Diceros bicornis minor: one gene and its partners. The protein of the gene in region 4 interacts with the protein of the main gene of each other region in a biochemical or structural test. Links are inferred from orthologs where the notes say so. Each region holds a gene or a part of one and is shown on either strand. Other genes may lie near its edges. The genes, in order: CRADD, BIRC3, OTUD1 and RIPK1.

Region 1 (7,863 bases), on a different chromosome or scaffold from region 4:
GCAGTTTAAGGTTCAAGCAAAAGGTTCACAGCAAAATTGAGGGGAAGGTACAGAGATTTCCCATGTACTCCCTGCCCAACACATGCATAGCCTCCCCCATTATCAACATCATCCACCAGAGTGGTACATTTGTTACAACTGATGAACCTACATTGACACGTCATAATCATCCAAAGTCCATAGTTTACCTTAGGGTTCACTCTTGGTGTTGTATGTTCTACGGGTTTGGACAAATGTATAGTGACATGTATCCTTCATTATGGCATTGTACAGAGTATTTTAACTGCATTAAAAATCCTCTGTGCCCTCCCTATTCATCCCCCCCCCCCACCCAACCCCCTGGCAACCACTGGTCTTTTTACTGTCTCCATAATTTTGTCTTTTCTAGAACGTCATATAGTTGGGATCAAATAGTACATAGCCATTTCAGATTGGCTTCTTTCACTTACTAATGTGCATTTAGGCTTCCTCCATATCTTTTCATGCTTGATAGCTTATTTCTTTTTAGGGCTGAATAATATTCCATTGTCTGAATGTACCACAGTATATTTATTTTCTGTGGTACATATTTATATTCTGTGGTAGATATTTATAATATTCGCCTACTGAAGGACATCTTGGTTGCTTCCAAGATTTGGCAATTATGAATAAAGCTGCTATAAACATCCATGTACAGGTTTTTGTGTGGACATACATTTTCAACTCTTTTGGGTAAATACCAAGAATCACAATTGCTGGATCATATAAGAGTATATTTATTTTTGTAAGAAATTGCCAAACTGTCTTCCAAAAGTGGATGTACCATTTTGCATTCCTACCAGCAATGAATGAGGGTTCCTTTTGCTCAACATCCTGTTCAGCATTTGGTGTTGTCGGAGTTCTGGATTTTAGCCCTTCTAATAGGTGTGATTTCCTTCTTTTCTAAGGCTGAATTTTATATATATCACATTTTCTTTATCCATTCATCTGTCGATGTACACTTTGGTTGATTCCATAACTTGGTTGTTGTGTATAATGCTGCAAGGAACATGGGAGTACAGATATGTCTTCGAGGTACTGATTTCATTTCCGTTGGATATATACCCAGAAGTGCGATTGCTGGATCTTATGATAGTTCTTTTTTTAAGTTCTTGAGGAATCTCCATACTGTTTTCCATGTGGCTGTGCCAATAGAAATATGTGACTTTTTTTTTAACTCAAGAGTTTAAGATTTGTTGCACCTAGTTTCCAAACGTATGGGATTTATGGAAGCTATCCTTTTGTTAAAATTTCTAACTTTATTGTAAAATGGTAGGATACATAGTTTGTGTGCTATTGATTTTTTGGAATTTATTGAAGTTTCTTTGAGACTCGATTCATGACCTATTTCTGTAACAGTTTCAAGTGTGCTTGAAAAGAATCTGTTTTTCTCCATGGCTTAATTTCCACATCTGTAAAACAGGAAGAACCAAAAATATCCAACTCCTTTGATTTTTGTTTTGAAGGTTGTAAAACCAAAGACCAAACTGAAAGACAGAAAAACACTACATTTGTTCTCTCTCTCTCTTTTTTTTTTTTGGTGAGGAAGATTAGCCCCGAGCTAACATCTGTGGCCAATTCTCCTCTTTTTTTTTACTGAGGAAGATTGGCCCTGGGCTAACACCCGTGCCCATCTTCCTCTACTTTATATGTGGGAGGCCTGCCACAGCATGGCTTGATAAGCAGTGCATAGGCCTGCGCCCAGGATCCAAACCTGCAAACCCTGGGGGTCCAAAGCAGAGCATGCTAACTTAACCACTATACCACTGGGCTGGCCCCTATGCTTGTTCTTTTTGACTCTTTCTTTTGCAGACTCACAATGGGTATATCTTGACACAAGTAAATATGGTGGGGAGAGAGAAAAAGGAAAATATCTGTCCTTCCTAAAAATGGATTTGTTACCACTGGGTAACAGGTGCTTAATCCTCCGTGGGGGCACAATTCCAGCCCACAGAGAGGGACTGGACAGAGTGGAGGCGTGACCATCTGTGATAGTGATTCTGATCTGTCTTTGATTCTCTCGGGGCTTGCTGGCCTTAGATATTTATATAAGTGAGGCTGAATCTTTGGTGTGCTGCTCAGATGTGTCATTGTATGCTAGCCCGGGGTGGTGGTCCTCCAGCAAGCTGACTGATGGCAGCTGGCTAGTCAATCAGAAACCCAGCATGGTTGCTTAGGAGGCAGCATGGATGTGCATCTAAATTTGCCATAGGAAGAAGAATTTCATGGTCAAGAACTTCACCCGTAGATTTAAGTCAGATCCTTAATAGCCAACCTCTCAGGTTGTTCACCATTAGAACTCCATGCCTCTCAGCTCCTGCACTAACTCTTCTCATGCTGTCTCTCACTCTCTTGTCTTCTCTTCTGTGAACTGTCATGGAACACACTGTTGGCTCTCTACCTCCTCCTGGACATCATCAATGTCTTCTTCTATTTTCCAGGAGATCTCAAGCCTTTCTAAATACAGCGAGTCATCAAGAATGTTGATGTTTTAAATTAGGTAGTTTTACATGGCTGGCTATTTTCTGTGCTACTTGTTTCAACTTTACTATATGTTTAAGAATTATCAAAGTTTACAGTTGGAAAAAATACACTTGTTTTTCCTCCCCTAAAAGTCTGTAACCTCAGCTATGGGTAGTATCACAAGAGGTCTGCATTTTATCTGGAGGAAGACAGAGAATGTTGCTAACACTTGTTTACATACAGGAGGGCAATCTCGCCCAGGAGAGGACAGCAATTCCAAAACAAAAGAAGAGGGAGAGAGTGAAGAGAGTACCTGGAATTCAAAAGTACCAAGAGTAAGAGGTGGCACCAGAATGATTTGCAGATATTTTGGCTGTCATAAGAACAAGAGACTCTTACCGTACAGGGCTGTGTGGTGTACTGTGTACTCGAAAGCGCATGAAATCAGAGGAAACTGGTTAGAATTCAGGTTTTGCTATGTATTAGCTGTCAGATTTTGGCTAAGACACTTGCCCACTTTGATTCAGTCTTCACATATGTAAAATGCTAATCATAATAATAATACTTGCCATCCATATAAAAATATTGTCACTGCTGGTATAGTAAAATGGTATATTGGCATAGTAACACTTTAAACTGTTTACAAAAATTCGAAGGTTTTGAGGAGGGAGGTCTAGAATTGCTCTCCATTGATTTGCTTACAAAGATATTTTCATCTTCACTAGTTTCATCACTGTTGATGATGAAACATCAACACCACTAGAGGTGTTGGTTGTGAAAACCTCTATAGAAATAACGATATTTGAGGGTTTTGTCTATTACTGTCAACTAACTTTTAGCAGGTGAATGACTTTCTGTATATATCACCCAATTGATTTAAAAGTGAATCAATGAATATTTGTTGATTGCCTCATTTCATAAAGAAATGTGAGGAAGGACCCTCAATTTGACATTATTTTATCTCTCTATATTTGGATCTTGCACTTGTCTTGCCTTCCAAATTAAAAATGTGGTGAACTCAGCAGATCGGCCCCCAGTATTAGACCCTCTCTCTTTTTAGCATGTCTTTCTGTGCTTCAGAAGCTGGAAAACTCCAAACTACATGCCTCACACACCCTCGCTGCTGATGTTCTGCATGTGAATTAGGTTTCACCAATTGCATGCATCAGAGTAAGATTTGCAGATGCTGGTTTTTTTTGTTTTTTTGTTTTTTTTTTTTTTGTGAGGAAGATCAGCCCTGAGCTAACATCCGTGCTAATCCTCCTCTTTTCGCTGAGGAAGACCGGCTCTGAGCTAACATCTATTGCCAAACCTCCTCCTTTTATTTTTTCCCCAAAGCCCCAGTAGACAGCGGTATGTCATAGTTGCACATCCTTCTAGTTGCTGTATGTGGGACGAGGCCTCAGCACGGGGGGGAGAAGCGGTGTGTCGGTGCGCGCCGGGGATCAGAACCCCGGGCTGCCAGTAGCAGCGCGCACACACTTAACCGCTAAGCCACAGGGCCGGCCCTGCAGATGCTGTTTTGATGCTGCTGGCAAATACAGCTGTGGAGACCTTGTTTTTTCTGCAGGAGCATTCCAATGTCCAGTCACTTGCTCTGTCAGTGTCGAGAAAAGGTTGGGACTGTGGAGTGGTGGCTTCCTGACTCCAACTTCCTGATTATGGCCAGGAGCCAGTTTGGCAGTGCTGTTTAGGGAGTCATCCTTGGATGCCCAGACCTTTTCCAGCCTTTCCAATGACTGTGAATGTCCCCAATTTCCTATGGCAAATCCCTTTCTGTCTAGAGCAGCTAGCTGATGGCTGCAACTGAATCCTGACTGATTGACTTGTAAACTATTTACCGGCAGGCACACTGTGATATAAAGAAATGACCTTGCATTTTAGTGAAGGGAAACAGATGATAAATAAATGATTAAGCAAAAGTTTTAGTAAGATGGCGATACATACTACAGACAAAAATAAAGCTGGAAAAGGGGAAGGAGACTGCAGGAAATGAATGCGAGTGTGTTGCAATTTTAAATAGAGGGGTCATGGAAGGCTTCGCTGATTAAGGTGACTTTTGAAACCTGACTATCTATTATGCCAATTGTGTGCAAGGTACTGGTAGAGTTACTGTGTTAAAAAGCAATCATCCAATCACTCCTTTGCTTAGATAACCCCCTAAGTGATGCAACTATTTTCCATCTCCAGGCAGCTATATCGCTTACCCACAGCAAACATGGCGGAAAGGGCTTCAGTCTGACACTTGGGCCCCCAATAAAGATGGCTACAGCACTTCCTGTGTTTGCCCTCAACAAAGATGGCGACGATACTTCCTGTTCAGGGCTTTCGCCTTCAACAAAGATGGCGCTTATGGTACAGGTTCCCTAACAGTCTGGATTCCGGTTGCAGTTTTTTTTTTTTTTCCCCTAAGATACGTGTTTGCAGACGTAAGTAACAGGAATCCAGAAACCCCGTATCCATCTTTTCTTCAAGGTCCCGCGCCGTGGCGTCTGCAGCCTGGGCCCTGCTTGGCTCCCCCGCCCCCCCTAACTTGCTGGCGGCGTTCTAGAGCCGGCCCGGGGTGGGGTGGCGGTGGGGGTGCCGGGGATCCACTCTGCCCTCGGTCCGCTCTGAAGATCATTCCCAGCACCCCCTTTTTAGCGAGTCAGGTTGCCCGGAAAATCTCTCCTAGTTCTTTCTCTTCGTAATACAAGAGGGCTTCAGCTGGCGAGGCAGGGAATAAAGAGAAATTCCACATGGGCGCTAGCAGTCCGAAGTGCGCATCCTCCTCCTCCCCTGCCACCTCCCGGACTTCGCAGAGGGTGCTAGGAGGGACAGGGGCGGGGGGCGCGCCTCCCCTTATTTACCCTCATAGCCACCACACCCCCGCCCCTCAGCTCCCTGGTGCAGTGGTCTTGGAAATATGCCGGGCAGTCCTGCTGGCCACTGACCGGGACTGGCCTGTGGACTTTTTTTTTTTTTTTAAGAAAAAAAATCCCATTCAGTGACCCATATGTGTGTGGCCACGGCAGTGTTGTGATGGAGATTCTGAATTCTTAGAGGGAAGGGATGGAGTCTGTGACTATGTATAAGGTTTATTGTAGACTGGGCACAAACACTAGTAAATGTTTTTCGTGATGGTGTATAGGCCTTTTCTCATGGGGGAGATGATCCTTAAACTTCTTGGTACCTGCAGGTTTCTGGCCCCACTCCCATTGCTGATCAGGTTCTAAAAATGCCCGTGGTCCAAAGGGCACCTGTATGCGTACTGGCAGTTTCTGTGGTGGTGGGGTATCTCTGATGAAGGCAATGTTAAAATAAAAGCACTGTTTCTTCTCAAGTGTGTTAAGATGAAATGCTGCTCTGTAATCCTCAGATACAAGTTGTTTTATAAGCAGGGTCTCTGACCTCACGTTTTTCCAGATCTCTTTATTGAACAAGGAATTGAGCTAGGACCCATTATGTGGAAAGCAAAAACAGAAAAGATAATTCATGTTCAGTGTTGTTCATTATGTTTAGAAACATTTGAAATTAATTTGGCTTGGCTCAAGAGCCGTGTATGAAACACCGTGGCCTGGCACTCTGGTAAGATTCAAAGATATCCATGACCTTAAGGAGCATACATTGCAGGACCCCATCTGTAGGGGCTCAACAGCATTCCTGTAATCTGAGCTGTGGATTTTGTCTTTTCCCAGGAGGAAATGGAGGCTAGAGACAAGCAAGTGCTGCGCTCCCATCGCCTGGAGCTGGGTGCAGAGGTACTGGTGGAGGGCCTGGTTCTTCAGTATCTTTACCAGGAAGGGGTCTTGACGGAAAACCACGTTCAAGAAATCAAAGCTCAAGCCACAGGCCTCCGGAAAACAATGCTGCTGCTGGATATCCTACCTTCCAGAGGTCCTAAAGCATTTGATGCGTTCCTAGATTCCCTGCAGGAATTTCCCTGGGTGAGGGAGAAGCTGGAGAAGGCAAGAGAAGAAGCCCTAACTGAGCTGCCTGCAGGTAGGCCTTCAGACGAGCTCCAGAATTGATGGAACTGTGTCCTTTGGATTTGAAGTTGGGGTTTTAGGCTGGGAGGGGGATGGCGGTTCCTGAAAGTGAATAAGGAGTTTGGACTGAAGGCACGTGGCATTGGAGGGACGGGATGAGGAGGTGGAATTAGGAAGTGCAGGGAAGGAAGGAAGGATGAAGCATGATTGAGAGGTTCAGGAGGGAGCTCAGAGAATACATTTAGAAATGCTTCCAGGGAAACTTGGCAAGTCACTTGGGAGGCATGTTCTCATCCAAGAGCCAGGTCGTTGGCATCAGGACCATTGGAAAGTGCAGATGGGAAAGCAGGCATTAGGCCTACTGATAACTGGTTCATGGGGTGCCAGAGCTGCCGGCAAGAAGAGGTCAGGTTCATAGAGGAGGAGACAGCCTTTAGGAAGGCACACCTTACACCTGTTCCCTGGGCTGCCCTCCATGGCTAGAGGGGATAATTTGGAAGGCTGACTTAGTTTGCTTTTAAAGGTTATTGGTTTCAAGTCATCCTTGTTAGTTTGGCTTTCTTCAGACACCCGGAGTATTTAGTTTTGTAAGGACAGTAGTTTGAGGAGGGGCTCATTTTGATTTTAAGGAAAATTGGAAGCTATGGAAAAGAGAGTTCTGGTGCTGTTAGCCTGGCTTGTAACAGGAAGAAGGTATGATATGAAACACTTGTTCCCTCTTAACTCCTCCCATGACTTTTCCTTTTTACAAAGATTAAGGAGCAGAGAACTGAATTGGTGAAAAAAAAATTGAAAGTTGACTTGCGTGTTTAACAGATTTAGGAAATCAACATTCTCTGGAGTTTTTGATAGCAAACTACTATCACTACTATCAAACTAGTAGTTTGATAAACTACTCCAAGTCAGTGGTCTCCCGACTTTGCTGTTGCTGTTTTTTAAATACCAATATAACTGGTTAAAAAACAAATACCAGTAATAAAAGACCACCTTTATTATTTTTGCCGCATGGACCTCATATTCTGATTGATTTTCCAGACCACCTGTGTTAAGTAATCCTGATTAATTCTTCTATTTTTATTAATGACATATGTCTGAATATCTGATCAGCATAAGATAACCAGTTAACTTAGGAAGGCCTAGTAAAGTCCCAGTGGAAAAAGAAAAAATATTTTCATTTCCCCTTGTGGCCAAATTATAGGTAAATGTAGGTTTTAGGCTTTTTTGAAATACTGAAAATAGCTGGCCTTTGAGGACCACAGGAATTCTTGGGTTGGATTGTCTTTACAAAATTAAATACTCCAGGTGTGTGAATAAAGCCAAACTAAAGTATCTAAGACACTTCTACCAGTTTATTGAAAGCAGAATAAATAACATTGAATTGGGGAGATGTTAAGAGAAATGTTAGGGTGCCCAG
Region 2 (7,510 bases), on a different chromosome or scaffold from region 4:
CATCTTTGTACTGAAAACAAAGAAGACAAATAGATGGAGGAATATACCATGCTCACGGATTAGAAGACTCAATAACATTAAAATGTTAATACTTTTCAAATTGATCTATAGACTAAATGTAATGCTAATCAAATTCCCAGCAACTTTTAACAAGATATTCAGAAGACAATTCTAAAAGTTATATGAAAATTTAAAAAACTTAGAATAGCCAAAACAGTTTCAAAGAACAAAGATAGAGGACTTACGCTATCTGATATCAATGCTTACTGTAAAGATACAGTGATAAACACAGTATGGTACTGGCATAAGGATAGACAAATAGATTAATAGAACAGAATAGAGAGTCCAGAAAGAAACTGCCGTGTATAAGTTCAATTGATTTTTGACAAAGACACTAAAGCACTTAAGTGGGGAGGGGATTCTTTTCAATAAATTGTGTTGGAATAATATTTAGAGAAAAAAATGAACCTTGGTCCTCAACTCACATCATATGCAAACATTAATTTGAGATGAATCATAGTCCTAAGTGTAAAAGCTAGTATCACAAAACTTCTAAAAGAAAACATAGAAGAAAATCTTTATGATCTTGGGGTAGGTAAAGATTTCTTAAATGGGATATAAAATGCACTATACATAAAAGAAAAAAATTGTTACATTAGACTTCATCAGAATTAAAATATTCTATTCATTAAAAGAAACTGTTAATAAAGACAAAAAGCAGGCCACCAATTTGGAGAAAGTATTCACAATGCACATAACAAAGGACTCATATCCAGAATATGTAAAGAACGCCCTTAAATCAATAATAAAATGTCAATTGATTCAATTTAAAAATGGACAGAAGATTTGAAAAGGTCCTTCACAAAAGATGATATCTAAATAATTAAAAAGCATATGAAAATATATTCAACATGATTAATCACCAGGGAAATAAAAATTAAAAGCATAATGAGCTAGCACTACACATTCAAAAGAAGAGGTCAAATTCAAATAGTTGACAATACTAAGTCTTAGGAAGGATGTTCAGCAACTAGAATTCTTATATATTGCCGGTGGGAGTGTAAAATGGTGCGAATACTTTGTAAAAGTTTTTGGCAGTTTCTAATAAAAATAAACATACACCTACCCAATGGCAATTCCATGTCCAGGTGTTTACGCAATAGAAATGAACCCATAGATTCACAAAAAGGCTTGAACTGAAATGTTCATAGCTTCACTATTCACAAGGGACCAAACCAGGAAACAACCCAAATGTCCATCAGCAGGAGAACAGATAAACTATGGTATATTCATCCAGTGGAATACCACTTGGCAATAAAAAGAACGAACTACTCATACATGCTACAATGTGGATAAAACTAAAACTATATTGAGTGAAAGAGCCCCTTATGGGTACACATCGTGTGATTCATTTATATGAAGTTCAAGAACCAAATCTATGGGGATAGAAATCAGAATAGTGGTTGAGGCTGGAGGATGGGGGATATAGGTAGATACTGACAGGAAAAAGGCGTGAAGAAATTTCCTGGTGTGATGGAAAATGTTCTTGATCTTGCTCTGGTTGATGGTCACCCAAGTATATACATTTGTTAAAATTCATGAGCTGTACACTTAAGATATTTGCAGTTTAGACTGTGTAAATTATATGTCATTAAAGTACTGTCAAACAAAGAAATCAAAAGTAACCAACCATTTATAAGGGCAAACTTCACCACATTGAGAACATTGAGTCCATCTGTACTAAAAGATATTTTTTTGTAAATTCATCAGCACTTGTTCAAGGCTGATCTAATCATATTTTATCTGTAAGATATGCAGTTGTCAACAGACTAGGAAATTCCTAGCATTGACAATGATTCTTACATTTATTTTGGGATCAGAACAGCATGGTTCTTTTGTTAGATTTCACTTTTACTTTCAGTCCTAGATTCCTAGATAATGTATTTCTGTAATTAAAAATGTAAAAACTTACAGTGAAATAGCATCAGGCTGGAACTGAAGTTGTTACAGCATTATTATTATGTGAAATTCCTTCCAGAGAAAGAATATTTTTTATCATGATTACCTTCAAGTTAAAAAATACTTTAAAGTTGATTGTTTAATAATAGGATATTGAGAACACACCACTGTTAAGAGTTCTCAAAGTTCCAAACCAGGAGTGGGATGAAAAAGCATCTCACACACTTCTCACACCCTGCTTACACATTAACAGAGAGAAAAACTGGCAAACTAGAGATAGTGATGGCCATGTGTCTGTCTACCTTGTCACTTTCTCAAACATTTCTTTTACTTCTGCCTGTAAAAGAGTATTTGGAGAGAAAATATATTTAGATAAGCTGGATGCTGGGAGCAAAAGGGGAGTTTTTATATAAAATATTTGGGATATTCAAAGGATCAGAGGGAAAATGTAAAGTATATTACACTATCAAAAATTTGGGTGCAGATTTAGAATAGAAAAGGCCGAAGTGGATAGATTGACTCCATTTTTGTCAGTCATCTACAAAGATTTATTAAGCGCCTACATTTGCAGGTACCCTGCTAGTACTAGAATAATGCAGTGAACAAAATATATACAGTCCTTGCTCATATGCAACTTAGAATTGTTACAGGAAAAAAATTACTTAAAAAAAATCAATAATTGTGTTACAGAATGTTGCAAAGGAGACATATTGATCCACTCCAGGCCCTCATAGGTCTGATCCCAACTCTCTTTACTAGTTTGAAGAACTTGGGAGTTCTAGTCAGTTCAGGATTTCCTAGGCCATGGTCTTTAAATTGGGATGTGTTCCTTTGAGTGAACTTACCAAGTCTTTACAAAGATTTAGTAATGGGCAAGTGGGAACGCAAATAGTTTTAAGGGAATTAACCACCTGATCCTCGATTTCTACATATAGTTGCTCCTAAAACTGATCTGCCTAAAAACAAGAGCTGTTGTGGTTGCTAGGCCTGTTCTGTCTTCTCACCAACCTCTTCACAGTTGTTCTCTCTTCTTAAAAAAGACAGGCTCACCTCTCACCCATCTTGTGTTTTAAAATGGTGTATTGCCCCTGGGTGTAAAATCTTCCTGGACAATTAGAAGTAATTGGCGTTAGTGTTGAGAAAATGAATGACTCTAATATCTGGATATAGAGTTGCCATATAAAATATAGGACATCCAGTTAAATTTGAATTGCGGATAATCAATGAATAATGTATTCAGTGAATACTCTATTGAGAGGGACATACTTATACTAAAAAATTACCTGTTGTTTATCTTAAATTTAAATTTAACTAGGTGTCCTGTATTTTAATTTGCTAATTCTGGCAACCTTATCTGGGTAACAAAAGTCCTGTGGTTTCCAAGTCACTGATTTCAACAAATTGAGTTGTCTACTGATAACTAATTAAATTTTTGGATTAAAGATCAGTAAATGAGTTTTTGGACTATAAAACAGAAGTTCAAAAAATTGTGAAAAAATTGATATAATAACATTTCTTCTGGGCCTATCTACTTATTTATGTGAAAAAGGTTTTTCAGTGCTTATAATTTTAAGAAACGAAAAAAAGGAACAGAATCTATGCTGAACCCTACCATATTCCAGTAATAGGTAATATTCATGAACACATACTTGAAAAAACTGTTCAAATATAAGGTGCAACTCCCATTAAGATTGCATTTGTAATAGAATTTTACTTTTTATCTTTAGTAGTTATCAACATTTATAACATATTTATATTGTTTTGGCCAATCATGTAATAAGTAATGAAAGTAGTATCAATGATAATTCAATCAAGGAAAAATTTTTCTTTAACATTTAGAGTCTTATGATCACAGGAAAAAAATTAAATTTCAATTTATACACATATTTGTTTCAGAAATATGTGCCAGAGTGATCATAAAGATGTCCATTTTAAACATATATTAAAATTCTGTGGGGGAAGTAGAATATTCAAGGACAAACGGCAATGATATAATATTTCCAATTATTAAAGATGAGCTGATGTATGAATTGTTTAATGGATGATCATGGGTATCAGATGGCTATGGTATTTGTAGTTCATTGAAATAATTTAAAACAGTGCAAGATCAATTTTAATCTAAAATATCTATGTCTACATTTTGTAGTTCCTTTGCAACCACAGCGTTTGTGTTTTAATGTTAAGGTAAAAAGTGCAGAGAAGTCGAATTTTTCAAAATTCTTTTGGTAGGTACCTGATCAAAAGTGTATAAGGACCACAAAGTGGTTTCCATCATCTCAAAGGTGAGTGGGAAATGGTTTATAAAATTTTGAACTAGCAGGTTCAAAATTGGATTGAAATCTCCACATGATAGATAATCTTCTTGATATAATTCCAGCTGGAACTCTAACTGCTGTGAGCAGCCAAATCCACCTAGAAGATACCCCAGCTCATCCTGACTGTACTGAATAGAACGGGCGTCCTTCCTTTTTCCACAGGATGAGGAATTCGTGAATAATATTATGGGTTCTGCCTTTGGTTCCCGATCACCTTTGATATACTGGAAGACAGGAAAATCACCTGAGCTGTCTCAATCCGTTACCCTGGCGTGCACTGTCCTGAAATAAAGCTGCTCAAATTCATCGCTTACAGAATGTTGAGGAAAACATGGCAGTGCAGTGAGACTCAGACTTCAGGTTTCCATGAGAATATCACCATAACTTAGAGATCCCTCCTGTGAGATAAAAGGCTAAAAGGAGGAATTGTTTTTACAGCCAGCTCTACCTTAGTTATAAAAAGCGCACCGCCCCCCCCCAACTTTCAATATAGGAAGCTAATAAGGTAATCTCAATCTTTAAAACAGTAAAAATAAACTGAAAAGGAAAATGTGTGATTTTTTTACATACCCCTACATTTCCATTCCTGCCTTACTTTCTTGTTTAGAACAGAAAGTAAAAATTATCAGAGAGATGTCACAAAGTTTTGGTCTTGTCTTTTCTTTTTATCACATGGGAGATGGATCTTTTCCGGTCAGGCAGACCAGTGATCATCGTCTCTACACGGCTTATCAAGATTTCCTCTGACCCACGAACAATGAAGCAAAGGTCTTTCAGTAAATGCCACGAGGATACGCCACGGTTAAGAAATAGTCACTCTTTTAGGGTCATGGAAATCCCCGAGTGGGTTTGCCAGGCCATTGATTAAGGGGAAGTGTATGTGGTTATTACCGCTGGAGTTCCCCTAAGTCCTAAGAGGAAAGCACCAGCGCACATGCAAACCACTGGGAGGAGTACAGGACTCCGGGTGTATGGAGGTGGGGGTGGGGAGGTGGGTGGGTCGAGCTGGGTGAGACATTCAAAAGGCAGCGTGACATTCTAGCCCTCCCGAACAGGCGGGGTGACGGGTGTCACCCGAGAAGACTCGGCCAGGACGTCCTTGCTGGCGCGCATCGGCCTCGGGGCAGCAGGTTGGTGACGAGGGCTGCTGCGAGGCTGTGAGCGAGTAAGTGTGCGTGTGAGTGTGTCGCGTGTGTCTGTGTGCGTGAAGCGCTCCCCGCCTCCCGCGCGGGTAGGGGACGCGTCCGCTGCTCCTTGTGGAGGGGCGGGCGGGGCCCGCGGCGGAGGACCGTCAGCGGGGTGGCACCGTATCCAAACGCCGCTCCGGGGCCCCGAGGTCGGCCCCAGATTGGCTCTCGAGCCGATCAGGGACAGGCAAAAGAATGGGTCCCCCGCGAGCCCGGGGGCCTCTCCCCTCCCGGCGCTCTTCCGGCCGGTCCCCGCCACCGCCGCCGCCGAGACTTTGCTCTCCCGCCGCCGGGAGGCGCTGGGCGCAGGGCAGGGGCCCGGGGCGAGGGAGGGTGCCCCCCGCCCCGCGCTGCCCTCACCTTCCGTCCGCCTTCCTGCCGGTGTTCAGTTTCCATTTTACTTTTAAAAGAAACTGGAATAGGAGATGGGAAAGTGGAATGGGAGAGCTTTGACAATTGGTTTAATTCGATTGCCAAGAGGTATCACCTGGTCTTTGAGGGTGCCAAATAAGCTACAGGACAGAGCCTGAAGCAGAGCTTAGGCATGGTAAGGACTCAGTAAAATCTTTATTTAGTGAACAAATGAAGGAATGTTTGTTTCCAAGAGGTGGCAGAAAGCAGATTGTTGGTTGTTTCTCTGGTGATCAGCATGGAAACCCTGTAGTGCTCTTAATCTAGTTAGCAAAGTGCTAGAGGCATTTGCCCGATGCTAGAGTAACTAACAATAATGTTAAATTTGTTTGCTATTATTTATTGCTAACAGTAGGTGTTGCTAATACCTACCAGTATGCTAGGACCCCTGTCGAACACTTTACATGTGTTTTTCAGGTTTAATTCTCACCGTCTTAAGCAGTTACCATAATTATCTCCATTGACAGTGAGGAAACTCAGGCTTAGGGAGAGTTACTTGCCCAAGCAAGGCCACACCCCTGGTATGGGAAGACTGAATAGTATTGGAAACCCAAGGTGTCTGACTCCATTAAGCCGTCAGTGAGCAGACTTTGTAGTTAACATGAAATTGAGGTCCTTAATACCATGCAAATGAGAGTGTTATGGTCATGGAGGGGCTCAGTCAAGTTTGCCAACGTTCACTTCTTCAACCAAAAGTCTTAGTGTCTGTATTATATGGCAGGCTGGATGGATGTTGGGGGTGGGAGGGCTGGAACAGAGCTGAAACATAGTTCTGCTCTGAAGGAGCTCACAGTCTAGGGGGAGGAAGAAAGAAAAGGCACACTTACCCCCCAGTCTCAGAGACATGGATATGCTAAGTGCCCAAGAAGGTAGAGACACACAACAACCCTGGGATAAGGGAGGTTGCCCAACGGAAATGAAAGTGTAAGAGGAGAAGAGGTTGGGGACTTGAGCCAATCTGAGAGGGAACCACTAAAAAGGAAAGAGGAATTCCAAGAGGGTGGTATCACAGAAGCCAAGCCAGTAGAACATTTCTAAGAGGAAATGGGCCCCAGTGTCAGATGCAAAAATTTCCATTGGTTTTGGGAAAGAAGAGATTGTTGTTATTAATATCGAGAGTAGTTTTAAGTGGTGCTGGCTAAAGCTAATTGTAGTGGGAGACCTTAACCATAGACACTTGTTAGTTCTCTTGGCTGTGAAGAGAAAGTGAGACACAGGGTAGTTGCTCCAGTGGAAAGTGGGGCCAAAGAGGATTTTTTTGTTTGTTTTCATTTGAAAGCTGAGACAGACTTAAGCATGCTCATTATATTGGAGGAAAAGAGCCAGTAGAGAGCAAGAGTTGAAGAAGTGAGGGGGATGGGCTTAAGAACAAAATTTCAGAGGCGATGAGAGAGGATGGGATCCTGCAAAGGGGCAGGTGTCTTTAACTGAGGCAGCAAGTAGGTTGTGAGTGAAATAAGCATGGATTTGAGAATGTGAAAGGATTACTGCTCAGTGATGTCTCTTTTCTTTGAGAAATAGAAGGCCAAGCAATCTACTGAAAGCGAGATGGGGAGTAGTGGAGGAGAAATTTGAGGAAAGGATTGAAGGTTTAGAAGAGTTGCATAGGGCAGTGGGCTAGGGATAAGGAAAATTGCT
Region 3 (7,723 bases), on a different chromosome or scaffold from region 4:
CCCGTGGCTTAGCGGTTAAGTGCGCGCGCTCCGCTACTGTTGGCCCGGGTTCGGATCTCCGGCGCACACCGACGCACCGCTTCTCCGGTCATGCTGAGGCCGCGTCCCACATACAGCAACTAGAAGGATGTGCAACTATGACATACAACTATCTACTGGGGCTTTGGGGGAAAAAATAAATAAATAAAATTATAAAAAAAATTATTTGTCCATTTTAAAAATTGACTTATTTGTGTTTTTATTGTTAATTATAAGACTTTTTATATATTCTGGATACAAGTCTCTCATCAGATATATGATTTGTAAATATAGTCTCTCATTCTTTAGTTTGTTTTTTCACTTTCTTTATGGTGTCCTTTGAAGGACAAAGTTTCTAGTTTTGATGAAGTCCAGTTTATCTATTTTTTCTTTTATTTGTGCTTTCATATCTAAGAAACTATTGCCTATTCCATGGGAACTGAGATTTCCGCCTCTAATTTCTTCTAAGGATTTAATAGTTTTAGCTCTTATATTTGATCCATTTTGAATTAATTTTTGTCTATGTTGTGAGGTAGAGGTCTGGCTTCCTTCTTGTGTATGCAGATATCCAGTTTTCTCAGCACCATTGTTGAAAAGACTATTCTTTCTCCCCTTGAATTGTCTTGGCACCCTGTCAGAGTCAATTGCCTCTAAACATATGGATTTATTTCTGGACTCACAATTCTATTCCATTGATCTACATGTTTATCTTTGTCCCAGTACCACATGGTGTTGATGACTGTAGCTTTGTAGTAAGTTTTGAAATCAGGAAGCGTTAAGTCCTCCAACTTGGTTCTTTTTCAAGATTGTTTTTCATATTAGGTTTATAAAGAAATGATTATTTAATAAATGAATAAATGGATGAATGTTTACATTTTTTTAAAAGACCATGTATTGGTTTTTTCATTACAGAGATAACACATATGTATGCAAAACATCCAAGCAATACAGAAAATTATAAAAAGAAAATTAAAAACACCGCAATTCCTACCACCCAGCTGGGTAAGATGTTGGATAATGTCTGTCTAGACACGTCTCTATGAATACGACAAGGATGGACAATTGCTACACTTCATTGAGCACCAGACACAGTGCTGTGCACTTCTCACACATCTGCCATCCAGTTCCCACATGGCCCATGGGAAGGAGGGGATGGTTTTTTAATGGATAAAGAAACTAGAAATAGAGGAACTGAATAATTTGTCCAGGGTGAACTACCATGTGACAGGCAGGAACCCAACTCAGGCTTCTCTCACTCCAGAGCTCAGATTCTTATTCACCTCCTGATACTGGCTACATAGGTAGGCACATGCACACCCCACAGACACACACACAGATCTCACACATACACCCCACAGACACTCACAGAAGTCATACACACTCTGCAGACACCCCCCCACAGATGCACACATCCTGCAGACATATACAGAACTCACATGCAAATACACCACACACACACAATTCACACACCTCCACAGACACACACACACAGGACTCACCTGCACATTCCACAAACACACACACAGCACAGACATACCACAGACACACACAGAAGTCACACACATGCTGCAGACACAGAATTTATACAAACATTGAAGACACACATACAGAACTCACACATATGCACCACAGGCACACACACATATCTTACACACATGCATACACTGTAGACAATCTCAGAAAACTCACACACATACACCACAGATATACACACAGGATTCATACATACATTGCAGACATGCACACCACACAGACACACACCCACATCCACATGTAGTCATGTACATACATAGAGGCATAGACCACACATATACACACAGGCTCTTCTGAAACTGTTTTTTTTTTTTTTAACGTTTACATTTTTAAAAGTTTTATTTTGGGGGGAGGAGAAGAGATTGGGACTTTTATTATCTTTAAAGGAATCTAGCTAAGAGATGGTGGTATGTAGATGTATGTACCTTCAAAAAACATGCCAGGATTGGTCCTGTTTTATAAAGATGCCTTTGGTGGCCAGGTTTCTGCTGCCTGGGCTGCAGGACAGAAACCATTTCTGAATTCTCTGTAATTGGCGCCATGCTGGTAGCAAAACTGGTGCTCAATAAATATTCATTGATTAAATGCCTTGTTCTTTTTGTTTTGTTCTAACCTATTGATTGTCTTTTTGTTACCTTTTGGTTGATAGTTGCTGAAATTTCCTGTTTTTCTCACCTATTCAATAACTATGTAATTTTGGTTTAGAATCCTATTTTCCTAAACTTCTGCCAATTTTCTGCATAGCACCAAAATATGCCGGGTATATGTGCCGGGCGGATGATATTCCAGAAGAGAATCATGAGGAATTCTTTTCAGGAGTATCAAGGAACTGGATTTGCCTCTCCCTCTTTCCCTCTCTTTACTATCACTTGCAAGGCCCTGCCTTCTCTTATAGACTCCAAGGGCAAAAAACAACTCCCATTTCCAAGGCTGACAATCATTTCTGCTTCGAGTTGCCGGAAGTACCATTTCCTCCAAGATTCTCCAGACTGAGATGCAGAGGAGACCCTGATTCTCACAGTGAATATGCAGTCTTATATAGTCCACCACTCCCACACAAACTGAAAGGGAAAAAAAGAGCCTTCACTTATGTTAAAGTTTTGAATCTTCACATCTTTGTTGATATTTGCTCCTAAATTTGGTACATCAGACCTAGCCTGTCCTCTATGTACCTAGCATTAACTTTTTTCCCTGTGTTTACCCCACTCTGTTAAAATGCATTCTCGTTCAGGATTTAAATTTTAATAGGTTCCCTGTAGTCCTCCAGGCTCCTGTTATGCTAGCTTTGCTAGGCACACAGTGGGTACTCAGTGAATATTATCTGAGGATTATTATTATTTTTTTTTGTGAGGAAGACCAGCCCTGAGCTAACATCCATGCTAATCCTTCTCTCTTTGCTGAGGAAGACCGGCTCTGAGCTAACATCTATTGCCAATCCTCCTCCTTTTTTTTTCCCCCCAAAGCCCCAGTAGATAGTTGTATGTCATAGTTGCACATCCTTCTAGTTGCTGTATGTGGGACGCCGCCTCAGCATGGCCAGAGAAGCAGTGCATTGGTGCCCACCGGGGATCCGAACCCTGGGCCGCCAGTAGTGGAGCGCGTGCACTTAACCGCTAAACCACGGGGCAGCCCCTGAGGATTATTTTATTGTTAATTGTCTTGTCTTCTGTTTCAGAACACCAGCTACCGAAAGGCTACAGGCAGAGTTCAGTGCATTTAATACGCAGAGCAACAGATACCCCCAAATCAGTGATGAAATCTAAGTAATTCCCTTTTTCTAGTTAGCCAATGGCGGCTACAAGCTCCCAATAGGGTGTCACCAGAAGCTGAAAAGACGGTGAGCCATAAACTTAGTTGTCTTACCCCCTCCTGTGCTGACATACCTTACAGGTTGGAGTGGCCCATGTAAACGGCTGCCGCTGGGATCCTGCCAGTAGTAACCCCCATGGCAAATACAAGCCCTGGCTAGGGTCAGGAGACGGATCATAATTCTGGCTTCTCCACTAAATGAGAATACTTGGGAACTCGTTTTCCATTAATTAATTCGTTCAGCAAATATTAATTCATTCCAACTATGCGCCAGGAACTGTGCTAAGGACATAACTGTGATAGCCAACAGGCCGAGGTCTTTCCATTGCTGGAATCTGCATTCCAGCGGAAGGGTCGGGGGAGGCATATACCATAACCTATGGCTATTTCCCCACCTCTAAAACGGTGGAGTAGGCTTTAGGTTCAATTTAGATAGTTAGGGCCTGCTAATTTAGCATCTGATCAAAGCTTCGAGTATAGCACAAGCGGGCCGCTACCAGTCAGCACGCCGTTGCTCGTGCGAATATTGCAGCTTTCCTTTACACAGCGGGTACTACTAACACAGCTCGGCAGAACTGTTGTCAACATGCTACCCCGCCCCAGAACGCAAACCCGACTCGCTGCTCTGCCTCTGACCTGTGGTTAGCAGCCACACCTATTTTCAAAAGGTTGGAGGCGGTATGGTATTTGGTATTCCGAAAGGCTGTTTGAAAAATTTCCTTTGGCCCAAATCATGTATTTGCTAGTCGACATGGGTTAGGGGTGCAGGAAAGTTGGTTTCAGTTTAGCAGGGCAGCAAGGTGCTGGGGAGGATAGGTGGCGTCAGGCGACCTTAACATTTTGACGTGGAACTGAATCAAAAAGACGGCACTGGTGAAGAGAAGCAGGAGCAGTGGCTCCCGACTAGGCAGAGGCCGTGCAGGTTTCAAGGCAGCGCTCCGTCCGCCACACCGAGCCTGGAAGCTTCTTTCCAAACGCACGCTTTCAAAGCATTCTAGCCGGCCCTAGGCAGCGCCCACCCCGCCACTATCCGCAGCAGAGCGCACGGCTGCGCGGCGCCCAAACCTGCAGCAGGGCTGCAGGAAGCGGCCAGAAATCCCGTCACTGCGCATGCCCCAGGGCCATCGCGCTCTCCCGCAGGTGCCCCGCCCGCCGCCAGCGCCGCGGGCCACGCCCATGACGTCCGCCGGCCGGGGCGGGGCCTGGGCCTGGGGGCGGGGCGAGGCGCGCGCTTGAATGGGGCGCCGCGACGAGCCGCACATTCCAGCGGGCCCACGTGACGCTGCCGCGCGGCCTGAGGTAAACAACCGCGGCCCCGCCTCCGCGCCCCTCCGCGCGCCCTGCTCTGCTCCTCGCCGGCGGGACGCGCTCCAGCGGGGCGGGCGGCTTCCTCCGAGAGTCCCCAGCGGCCGGCGCGGGCCGGAGCAGCGGCAGCGGGCGCGGCGCCCCGGGTCTGCGGGCCGAGCGCGCCGGCCGGGGTCGAGCGCGCGGCCCCTCCCCGCCCTCCCCCCGCGCGCTGTGGCGCAGCAGGAATTTGGCGGGGACCCGGGCGCTATTTGCGGCTCTTGACGCGCCGGCGGCCCTCCGGTCGTTTCTATTCTCGGGGCACTGGGTCACTGCGCTCGGCCGGCCCCCTCCCCCGGGCCCGGAGGGTGTGTCCCCCGCAGCGGGGCTCGCCGCGCCTATAAGGGGCCGAGCGGCGGGCAGGGACATGCAGCTCTACAGCAGCGTCTGCACCCACTACCCAGCCGGGGCCCCGGGGCCCACGGCCGCAGCCGCCGCGCCGCCCGCCGCCGCCGCCAGCGCCCCCTTCAAGGTCTCTCTGCAGCCGCCCGGCCCCGCCAGCGGCGCCCCGGAGCCGGAGACCGGTGAGTGCCAGCCCGCCGCGGCCGCCGAGCCGCGGGAAGCCGCCGCCGCGCCCGCCGCCAAGATGCCCGCTTTCTCCTCCTGCTTCGAGATGGTGGCCGGGGCCGCCGCCCCCGCCTCGGCCGCCGCCGGCCCGCCCGGCGGGGCCTGCAAGCCGCCGCGGCCGCCGCACTACACGTCCACGGCGCAGATCACCGTGCGGGCGCTGGGCGCCGACCGGCTCCTGCTGCACGGGCCCGAGCCCGGCGCCGCCGCGCCCGCCGCGCCCCGCGGCCGCTGCCTCCTGCTGGCCCCGGCGCCCGGCGCCCCGGTCCCGCCGCGCCGCGGCTCCTCGGCCTGGCTCCTGGAGGAGCTGCTGCGGCCCGACGGCCCCGAGCCCGCGGGCCTGGACGCGGCCCGGGAGGGGCCCGACAGAAACTTCCGACTGAGCGAGCATCGCCAGGCCCTGGCCGCCGCCAAGCACCGCGGCCCCGCGCCGCCACCGGGGAGCCCGGAGCCCGGCCCCGGCTCGTGGGCCGAGGAGCGCCCGGCCGAGAGGAGCTGCCGGGGCTGGGAGCGGGCCGGCGAGCGCGGCGACCCCCCCGGCGCGGACGAGGCCCGGCGGCCCGACCCCGAGGCCGAGGCGCCCCCGGCCCGGAGCGTGGAGGCCGCCCCGAGCGGCGCGGCCGAGGCGGTGGTCGTGGCCAGGTCGGATCCCAGAGACGAGAAACTGGCCCTGTACCTGGCGGAGGTGGAGAGGCAGGACAAGTACCTGCGCCAGCGGAACAAGTACCGCTTTCACATCATCCCCGACGGCAACTGCCTCTACCGAGCGGTCAGCAAGACGGTGTACGGGGACCAGAGCCTGCACCGCGAGCTGCGGGAGCAGACGGTGCACTACATCGCCGACCACCTCGACCACTTCAGCCCCCTGATTGAGGGCGACGTGGGCGAGTTCATCATCGCTGCTGCTCAGGACGGGGCCTGGGCCGGGTACCCGGAATTGCTGGCCATGGGGCAGATGCTGAATGTGAATATCCACTTAACGACTGGAGGGAGGTTGGAGAGCCCCACGGTGTCGACCATGATTCACTATTTGGGCCCGGAGGATTCCCTAAGGCCTAGTATTTGGCTGAGTTGGCTCAGTAATGGACATTATGATGCGGTGTTCGATCACTCCTTTCCCAATCCAGAGTACGACAGTTGGTGCAAGCAGACTCAAGTGCAAAGAAAACGCGATGAAGAACTTGCGAAGTCCATGGCCATATCCCTATCCAAAATGTATATCGAACAAAATGCATGCTCGTGAAGTGTCTGAAAACCTACACCCTGGGAGAATTGCATACGTAATTTGTGTTTGGAGAATTATATGAACTCGAATCAGGGTAATAGCACTTTTAAACTTCCTAGTAGATTTACTGTAGGTGTGATGCCTTAATCGTTTTTTTGAATGTTTTCTCAGAGCTGAAGGTTGCTGGGCACCTAAATGAGGTTTCATGATAGCTTTGGGTGATCTTATTGCTATTTATAATTTGCTGTATAAAGTTGGCACTACATAAGTTGCAAGCTGATTTCTCATAGTGTAAATTTGTTCATTCCTGGTAATCTATTTTCTATAAAAATGTATTTTTGCACAACATTTTTAAAAATTGGTGTACCTTCACCTATGATGTGTTCCATTTTGACAAACAGCTTTCCGGCATAAATCCAGAGAAGTGCTTTATATGAAGTTTATTATTTTGAACAGAGTTTGTGAATTTAGTAGTTATTTTATGTTGTTGAATTTGAATTTTGCAGTTCTTAGGTAATTATTTCAAATGGATATTGATGCATTCGTGTTACCAGATGATAGGCCCATTCCATTTTGATGAAACAAACAGATTTGTTTTGGAAATCATTATTTTTCTAGAAATGGTCAACGTTTTAAAGAGAAATACTTAAGGGAAGGTTGTGGGAAGAGTTCTTTTTTTTCTTTAAGGGATAGTACCAGCTCTTACTTGAATGAAAGTCTGATATTTGCTGACAGCAGAGTGATTATTCTGTACTCTGGTTGATGTTTAGAGTAGATTGTCTGGTGCTTTGAATTGTTTTTATTTATATTTGTCATTTTGTTATAAATGAATTTTAACATGGTCGAAGACTTTGTGACAAGATAAGCCGCCTGCTTTATATAGCATCTTGGATTCAACTAAGAGATTTAAAAATTAATAGCGTAAATGCCTGGAACCAACCTTGGCAGTTATTTTATAGCAGGAGAATACTGTCTTAATATTTTGTTCCTTTTAAATTCTTTCAGAAGGCAAAGTAGGATTGCCCTGTATTATGTACAAATAAAAATGTCTGTAAACAGAGCTTGTATGGTTTGCTGGGTCAAACAGTGTTCCCAATTGAAAATATCTCATTTCCACTTTAACTACTTTTAGTCATATTTATTAAGTAATGCAGTTTGTACTTTTTTATTTTGTAACATTTTGTGATTTTTTTTGTACAATATTGTATTTGTACAATAGAGCAATTC
Region 4 (7,231 bases):
GGGTCTATTATCCTTTGTGTGGAATGAGAAATGCCCTCAGAGAAAAGCTGTGGTGAATGAACAAGAAGCCACTTCATATTGTTTCCTCTGCTCAAGGACGGAAGCCTCTTGAGTCCTCCCTGTGTTAGTTTCTCTCCAGTGCCTTCAAACAGTCATTTTATATATTTTGCCCATGTTCCATTATTATTTTCAATGGAAAGATTCATTCTGTATGTTCTTCAAGACCAGGATAGGAAGTCCTCTGCTCATACTTTAGGATTCAACCCAAGTGTGACTTCCTTTGTGAAGTCTTTCCTGTTTCTCTTCCTCTCAAGTAGAATCTTTGCTGGTTGCCATAGCACGTGGCACATACCTCCATCATAACCCTTATTAAATAACATTTCTATTTTTATGGAATGATTGCTTCTCCAATGGGCTGTAAAGTATCTTGGAATAAATATGGGGTCTTAACATATTCTTTATTCTACTTCTCCCTCCAGCTACTACCCTATTAATCTGAATTACTTTTTCTGAAAAATTCCTTTAAAGACCTAACTATACTCACAGTCTCTCATTTTCCTCCCCATCTCCTTCAGCTTTTTCTTGAACCTACTCCAAACAGCCAGCCCTCGTGGTCTAGTGGTTAAGATTCGGCACTCTCATCGCCATGGCCAGGTTTGTTTCTTGCTCAGGGAACCACACCACCCACTGTCGGTTGTCATACTGTGGTGACTGCATGTTGCTGTGATGCTGAAAGCTATGCCACCAATATTTCAAATACCAGCAGGGTGACCCATGGTGGACAGGTTTCCACAGAGCTTCCAGATTAGACAGACTAGGAAGAAGGACCTAGCCACCCAGTTCCAAAAAAATTGGCCATGAAAACCCCTGAATAGCAGCGGAGTGTTATCTGATAGACTGCGGGAAGGTGAGAGGATGGCACAAAAAGACCAGACAGGGTTCTGCTCTGCTGTACACAGTGTTTCTAGGAGTCGGAATAACAGCATAACAACAAACTCCAAACACGCTTTTGTTCCCACTATACCACTAAAACTTACATTGTCATGGTCATTGACAATTTCCATGTTACCAAATCCAATGGTGAATTCCCAGTCCACATCTTACTTGACATATTTGCAGCATTTGGCACACCTGATCACCCTCTTAAGGCTCCCCTCCACCCTGACCTGGTTTCCCCATTTCCCTGGTGGCTCCTCTTCATCTCACCACCTTCTAAACACTGGAGGATCATTCCTCAGACCTCTTTTCCTTTCTGTCTTCATTACCTCCCTTGATGATCTTGACTTATAGCATATCATTCACATGTTGATGACTTCCTAATTTGTATTTCTAACGTGGACCTCTTCCTTGAACTCTAGACTCATATACCCACTTACCTACTTGACATCTCCAACTGGATGTTTAATAGACATCTTAAATTAACATGTTCAAACAGAGCTCCTGATATTTCCACGAACCTGCTGTTCTCACTATTCTTTCTCATCTCAGTATAGAGCAACTTCATCCTGCAAGTTATGCTCAGGACAAAAACCTTCCAGTTATCTCATTTCTCACGCCTTGTTTCTGATCTCTAAACTAATCCTGTCACTTCCACCTTCATATTTCATCCAGAATCTGACTTCTTGCTGCCTCCATTGCCATCACTCTTGTCCAAGCCATCCTCTTCCTGTCTGCATGATTGTAATAACCTCCAAACTTATCTTCCTCTTTGCTCTTGTTCCTTTCAGCACATTGTCAACTCAGCAGCCAGTTGATCCTATTGTAATTTAGAGCATGCTTCTCTTCTGCACAAACCCTCCAACGACTCCCCAATTCATTCAGAGTGAAAGGCAAACTTCCTAAAAGGCCTCACATAATCTCCCTAGCCCCCTGCCTTACCTTTCCAACCTCATCCTCTATTACTACTATCTTGTTCCTTCCATAGCTACCTCATTGCTGTGCTCCCACCCGAGCCTTTGCCCTTGCTCTTCCCTCCCTGCTCAGTATGCTTGTTCCCAACATGCCCTCATGGCTCCCTCCCTCACTACCTTTAGTTGTTTACTCAAGCCTTCTCAGTGGTATCTTTCCTGGTCACTCCATCTAAAATTCTGATATGCTCCCCACACATACATGCACATCTCCTACCCAGCTTTGTGCTTTTACTCTCTCAGGGCTCACCACTAACCTACTAGTTCACGCATTTATTTTGTTGTTTTTGTTTTTTCCAGTATCCCCCCTAGAATGTAAGCTCCACAAAGGTAGAGCTTTTTGTCTGACTTATTCACAACTGAGTCTTTAGTGCCTAGAACAGGTGCTTTGTATATATCTATGAATCACTTGTATCTACCACCAGATACTCTTGTATCTAGCTCCTGCTTGGCATAGCCAGAAATGTTTGTTGAATGAATAAGTACCCCTTTCACTTTTTTTATGTGTGTATATCTTTTCTAAAAAATTAATAACTGTATTTTTTAGAACAGCTTTAGTTTCACAGCAAAACTGAGTGGAAAGAACAGAGTTCCCACATATTCTATCCCCCGCCCCCACACAAAGCCTCTCCCACCATCAACTACCTACACCAGTGTGGTATGTTTGTTACAATCAATGAACCAACACTGACACATTATTATCAACCAAAGGCCAGAGTTTACATTAGGTTTCACCCTTTGTGTTGTACACTTATGGGTTTTGACAAATATATAATGTATCCACCATTATAGTATCATACACAGTAGTTTCACTACCCTAAAAATTGCCTTTGCTCCGCCTATTCATCCATCGTCCTGCAAACCTGACAACTGCTGACTTTTTTTTTACTGTCTTCATAACTTTGCCTTCTCTACGATGTCATATCGTTGGAATCATACATTATATAGCTTTTTCAGATTGGCTTCTTTCACTTAGAAATAAGTCTTTAAGGTTCCTCCATGTCTTTTTGTGGCTTGATAGCTCATTTTTTAGTGCTGAATGATATTCCGTTGTATGGATGGATCACAGCGTTTTTGTCCATTTACCTACTGAAGGACATATTGGTTGCCTTCAAATTTTGGCAATTATGTATAAAGATGCTATAAACATTAATGTGCAGGATTCTGTATGGACATAAGCATTCAACTCATTTGGGTAAATACCAAGGCATGTGATTGCTGGATCCTATGGTAAGACCATTTTTAGCTTTTTAAGAAACCGCCAAACTTTCTTCCAAAGTGCTGCACCATTTTGCATTGACACCAACAATGAATGGGAATTCCTATTGTTCCACATCCTCACCAACATTTGGTGTTGTCTGTGTTTTGGACTTTAGCCATTCTAATAGGTATGTAGTGGTATCTCATTGTTTTTCAAATTTGCAATTCTCTAATGACCTACAAGGTTGAGCATCTTTTCCCATGCTTATTTGCCATCTGTATGATGACGTGTCTGTTCAGACCTTTTGCCCATTTTCTAATTGGGTTATTCCTTTTCTTATTGTTGAGTTTTAGGAGTTTGTAGTGTATTTGGGGTAACAGTCCTTTATCAGATACGTCTTTTGCAAACATTTACTCCCAGTTTGTGGCTTCTCATTCTCTTTACGTATAAATCTTTTTACAATATGTAATCATGCTGAGCATATAATTTGCTTTCTAACATAACACTATAGCAAGCATTTCCTATTTTGCCTGAGACTTCCCAATGGCCATTTTAAAGAGCTGCAAAATAAATATCACATTTCTTCCTCTACAGCCCCGCAGAGATGTTATTATCCCCACTTTGGAGGTGAAGAAAGGTAAAAGAACGGTAATTTGCCTGCAGCAGAGCTCAGATTCCCCTGGGTAATTCACCCAGCGTGTTCCGCTAGGCCAAGCTGCCTCTCCGCCGCGGAGGTTTCTGTGACTAGGTGACATTTCCTCTTTTCTTTCGGTCTCCCAACTCGCTTTAAAACAAAGTAAAGCCGCAACCCTTAGGCTGACAGATCACCGGGATTTTAAACGTGGGTACCAGGCCCCGCTGGCGAGGGGCGGGCGCTCGCCCGGTCCTCCTCCGGGGCAGGAGCAGGGGCAGGGGCGGAGCGAGCAATCCACGCCCTCCCGCCGGCCGAGCTCACTCACTCGAAGAGAAACGGCGCGGACAGCGGACCGGCTCCCGGACGCGGCGGTCCCTGCGGGCCCACACTCGCGGCGCCCGGGCGCGCTGTCCAGCGGGCGAGGGAGCGCGGGCCGCGGCTGGACGCGCGCCGGACGGCAGGCCCACGGAGCCGGGCGCGGTGAGCGGGGCGGGGCGGCCACTCTGCGGCCCGGTCTCCCCGAGCTCGCCGAGCTCCGCGCCCAGTGACCCCCTCGTCAGGCTCGGGCGTGCTGCCGCGGCGGAGTCCTGCCTGACTCCCCCGCCGCCGCTCTCCCCTCGCCCGGGCCTAGGGAAGTTGACCGCGGAAGCGAAAGTAAATCGCGCTCGGGTGCGTCTGCGCGCAGGCAGTGGCGGCGGCGCCCAGCTTCCGCGAGAGCGGCGTCCGGGCGGGCGGGACTTCCTGACCCGGCCCGCGGCGGCGGGAGGGCGACTGCGCTCCCGGCCGTCAGCCGGGGCGTGGGCCCGGTGGGTGGTGGGCGGGGCCCGGGGCGTTCCCGGAAGTCGGGCGGTGGGAAGGCCCCTGGCGTTTCCGGAAGTCGGGCGGTGGGAAGGCCAGTGGCGTTCCCGGAAGTCGGCCGGGAGACAGCTGACTGTCCGAGGCCCAGCCTGGTTTCGTCTTCGCGGAGGTTTAGGTGTAAATCCATAGAGGGGCGGAGACCTGCCCTCGCGCCCCGATAACGGTGTGACGTTGGGGCCTTGTTGTTATCGTTGTTGTTGTTTTGGTAGGGATGATGGGTTTTTATTGCAGTATCATTAAGATACAGTAGTGTATGCTCCTGCCGTAATAGGGTTAGGTGCATATCTCCGGCTGGGACTTCTTACCAACCCTCTGCAAAGGGCTTTTACTCCTGCACTTGGGGCCGCAGCGGGTTGCCAGTACAATCAAAAGCTTTTCCGCATAATCTTGGAAGTGAGTTGGCAGATGAGAAAGAAGGGTCGACAGCCAGAGCGACAAAGGGATGCCTGTCATAACTCTAGGAGCCCTCTTCAGTGGTCGGTGGCATTTGCTTTTGTGAAGTGCTGCAGATTCTCTTCAGGGTTGTGAAGAGGCTGAGCTACATTCTCCTCTCCTAAGCATTTGACAAAACCCCACAAGGAAATGGGGGGTGTTGTTCGTTTCTTTGTGTCTTGCTGATCATTTGGCTCTTCTTTGCTCAGAGCTCTTGTTTATTTTATACAGAGTCTGAGGCTATAATAATCAACCAACTTTGCAGAAGTCCTTTGGTCTTTAGACCACCTTTAATTCTTCCCTGATTTACACTGGAAGAAACCAAGGCACAGAGTGAACTTTGGGATGTAGAGTGATTTGATTTGCATTTTGTAACCACCAGGTAGATGCAAGAGTAAGGAGGAAATTGTGGTCAATTATAAATGTGGAAAACCACAGCTCATCTAAACACAAAGCAAAGATTAAACTTACTTAAAATTTGGGGTGTATCATCGTTATTATTACTGATAAAACAGCAATAACGTTTAACTATAATTTTCGTTTTCCTCTGCACTATATTGAGGACCAGAGATATGTTGTACTTTCAGGATTGTGAATGTTAATGAGAATTAATAAAAATTCCTAAAATATCAACTTCCAAAATTACAAACTATTATTTGGTGCTTATTAATCCATAACATGTTAATACCACCAATATGATCTGGGAGTTTGAAAATAGTGTCCCATGCTTTGGTCGGATATTATACTCTTGCAAAAATGATTGTGTACTAACCTGTAGAATATTCATTTTGAACCGTATGTTTTTAAAATTTAGTTTGTACATTCCCCATGTTTCTGAACGTAGCGTAACTCATTGAATGTAGGTGAGCAAGGCTGTAAGCTTAGGTCTTTGCATCTGATTTTAACAAAGACAGATTTATCATTTGCTATCTAGAGAAGTAGCAAGTGTTAGTGAATTAGTAGTGGAAGTTTGAGTGAAGAGGCGAAGGTTCAGTTCCAGGATCTGCCATTTTAGATGAATCATTTAACTCTAAATTTTAGTTTCTTTATTTGTAAATTGGAATGATGATGATAAAACTTCATGGGCTCATCATGTGCCAGTGTACATGATAATGCTTGGTTAAACTCTTTCAGTCTAGTCTGTTACTCATCATTTGGCTCTTGCTTGCTGAGACCTCTTGTTTATCTGGGGCAAAGCATCAAGCTGCAATAATCAGAGAACCTTAGAGAAGTCCATGTTGGATACCTGAGTAAAATCAGAATTCTATTAGCAGGTAAGAAGGGGGGTAATGAAAGTAGGCAACCAACATTTTCTGTCAGACTCATTATATGTGGTCATCATTGAAAAATTGAAAAAACAGTCCTCTACCACTGAAAGGTAACTATGAATATTTTTTTAAAAACTTTTTTATTGAAGTATGACATGTACAGAAAAGTGCACAAATCATAACTGTATAGCTCTATGAAGTATCACAAAGTGAACGTTACTCAGGTCAAGAAATAGAACATTGCCATCACTCCTGAAACCTCCTGTCCTTCACTGCCTCCTGTCTCCCACGTAACTAACTGCTGTCCTGACTGTTAGTAGCATAAATTAATTCTGTCTGGCTTTTTGGTATTAATTATTATTTATTTATATTTTTCACCAGTTTTATTGATGTATAATTGACAAACAAAATTGATATAAATATTTTGATATATAGACTTATCCTGCCTTAGAAAGTAATTTGTTTGTGAAATTTCTTGGAATTTTCAGTTAATTTTAGTGGAAAAAAATTTGCTTCTCTGAGTCCCTGAATTAATATCCATTTATGCAAAACATTAAGAAATCCCATTAAAATGGACACAATTACATTATTAGCTGAAATTAGGTATCATAACATGATATAATAGGCCAGTGTGTTTCGTTAATTACTCTGTAATATGGCTTTATGATGTGGTTTTCTACCTGCCTACGCTTTTTTTTTAGTGACTCTTGGGTATCTAAACCACTCATAAGGCCTTCCTAAGATATTCAGTGCTTGCGAAGTTGAATTTTTCATGGGGGAAAGGGGAGGGCAAACAGTAAAAACAAAAAGAATCATGGAAACCATGCATAAGATTAAATAAGATCAGGGGCCAGTTAAGTTAGGAGCACTCTGCTTTGGTGGCCTGGGTTCGCAGGTTCAGATCCCAGGCACAGACATACACCACTCATCT

Evidence for each region.
Region 1: the proteins of RIPK1 (region 4) and CRADD form a complex in vitro, tested with the Homo sapiens proteins (2 studies listed by BioGRID). The link is inferred for Diceros bicornis minor from reciprocal best matches to the Homo sapiens genes RIPK1 and CRADD.
Region 2: of the proteins of RIPK1 (region 4) and BIRC3, one has a biochemical effect on the other in vitro, tested with the Homo sapiens proteins (5 studies listed by BioGRID, with this or other methods). The link is inferred for Diceros bicornis minor from reciprocal best matches to the Homo sapiens genes RIPK1 and BIRC3.
Region 3: of the proteins of RIPK1 (region 4) and OTUD1, one has a biochemical effect on the other in vitro, tested with the Homo sapiens proteins (2 studies listed by BioGRID). The link is inferred for Diceros bicornis minor from reciprocal best matches to the Homo sapiens genes RIPK1 and OTUD1.

The regions. Positions count from the first base shown.
Region 1 is NC_080764.1:28,287,098-28,294,960, reverse strand, and holds the start of CRADD (death domain-containing protein CRADD), read left to right. Parts: upstream 1-4,819; 5' UTR 4,820-4,910; intron 4,911-6,158; 5' UTR 6,159-6,164; coding exon 6,165-6,462; intron 6,463-7,863. UniProt on the Homo sapiens protein: Adapter protein that associates with PIDD1 and the caspase CASP2 to form the PIDDosome, a complex that activates CASP2 and triggers apoptosis.
Region 2 is NC_080746.1:32,654,416-32,661,925, reverse strand, and holds the start of BIRC3 (baculoviral IAP repeat-containing protein 3), read left to right. Parts: upstream 1-4,320; 5' UTR 4,321-5,042; intron 5,043-5,329; 5' UTR 5,330-5,404; exon of another isoform or gene 5,405-5,439; intron 5,440-5,897; exon of another isoform or gene 5,898-6,008; intron 6,009-7,510. UniProt on the Homo sapiens protein: Multi-functional protein which regulates not only caspases and apoptosis, but also modulates inflammatory signaling and immunity, mitogenic kinase signaling and cell proliferation, as well as cell invasion and metastasis.
Region 3 is NC_080775.1:22,909,994-22,917,716, forward strand, and holds the start of OTUD1 (OTU domain-containing protein 1), read left to right. Parts: upstream 1-4,704; 5' UTR 4,705-5,071; coding exon 5,072-6,514; 3' UTR 6,515-7,723. UniProt on the Homo sapiens protein: Deubiquitinating enzyme that specifically hydrolyzes 'Lys-63'-linked polyubiquitin to monoubiquitin.
Region 4 is NC_080753.1:63,207,869-63,215,099, reverse strand, and holds the start of RIPK1 (receptor-interacting serine/threonine-protein kinase 1), read left to right. Parts: upstream 1-4,106; 5' UTR 4,107-4,222; intron 4,223-4,232; exon of another isoform or gene 4,233-4,411; intron 4,412-7,231. UniProt on the Homo sapiens protein: Serine-threonine kinase which is a key regulator of TNF-mediated apoptosis, necroptosis and inflammatory pathways.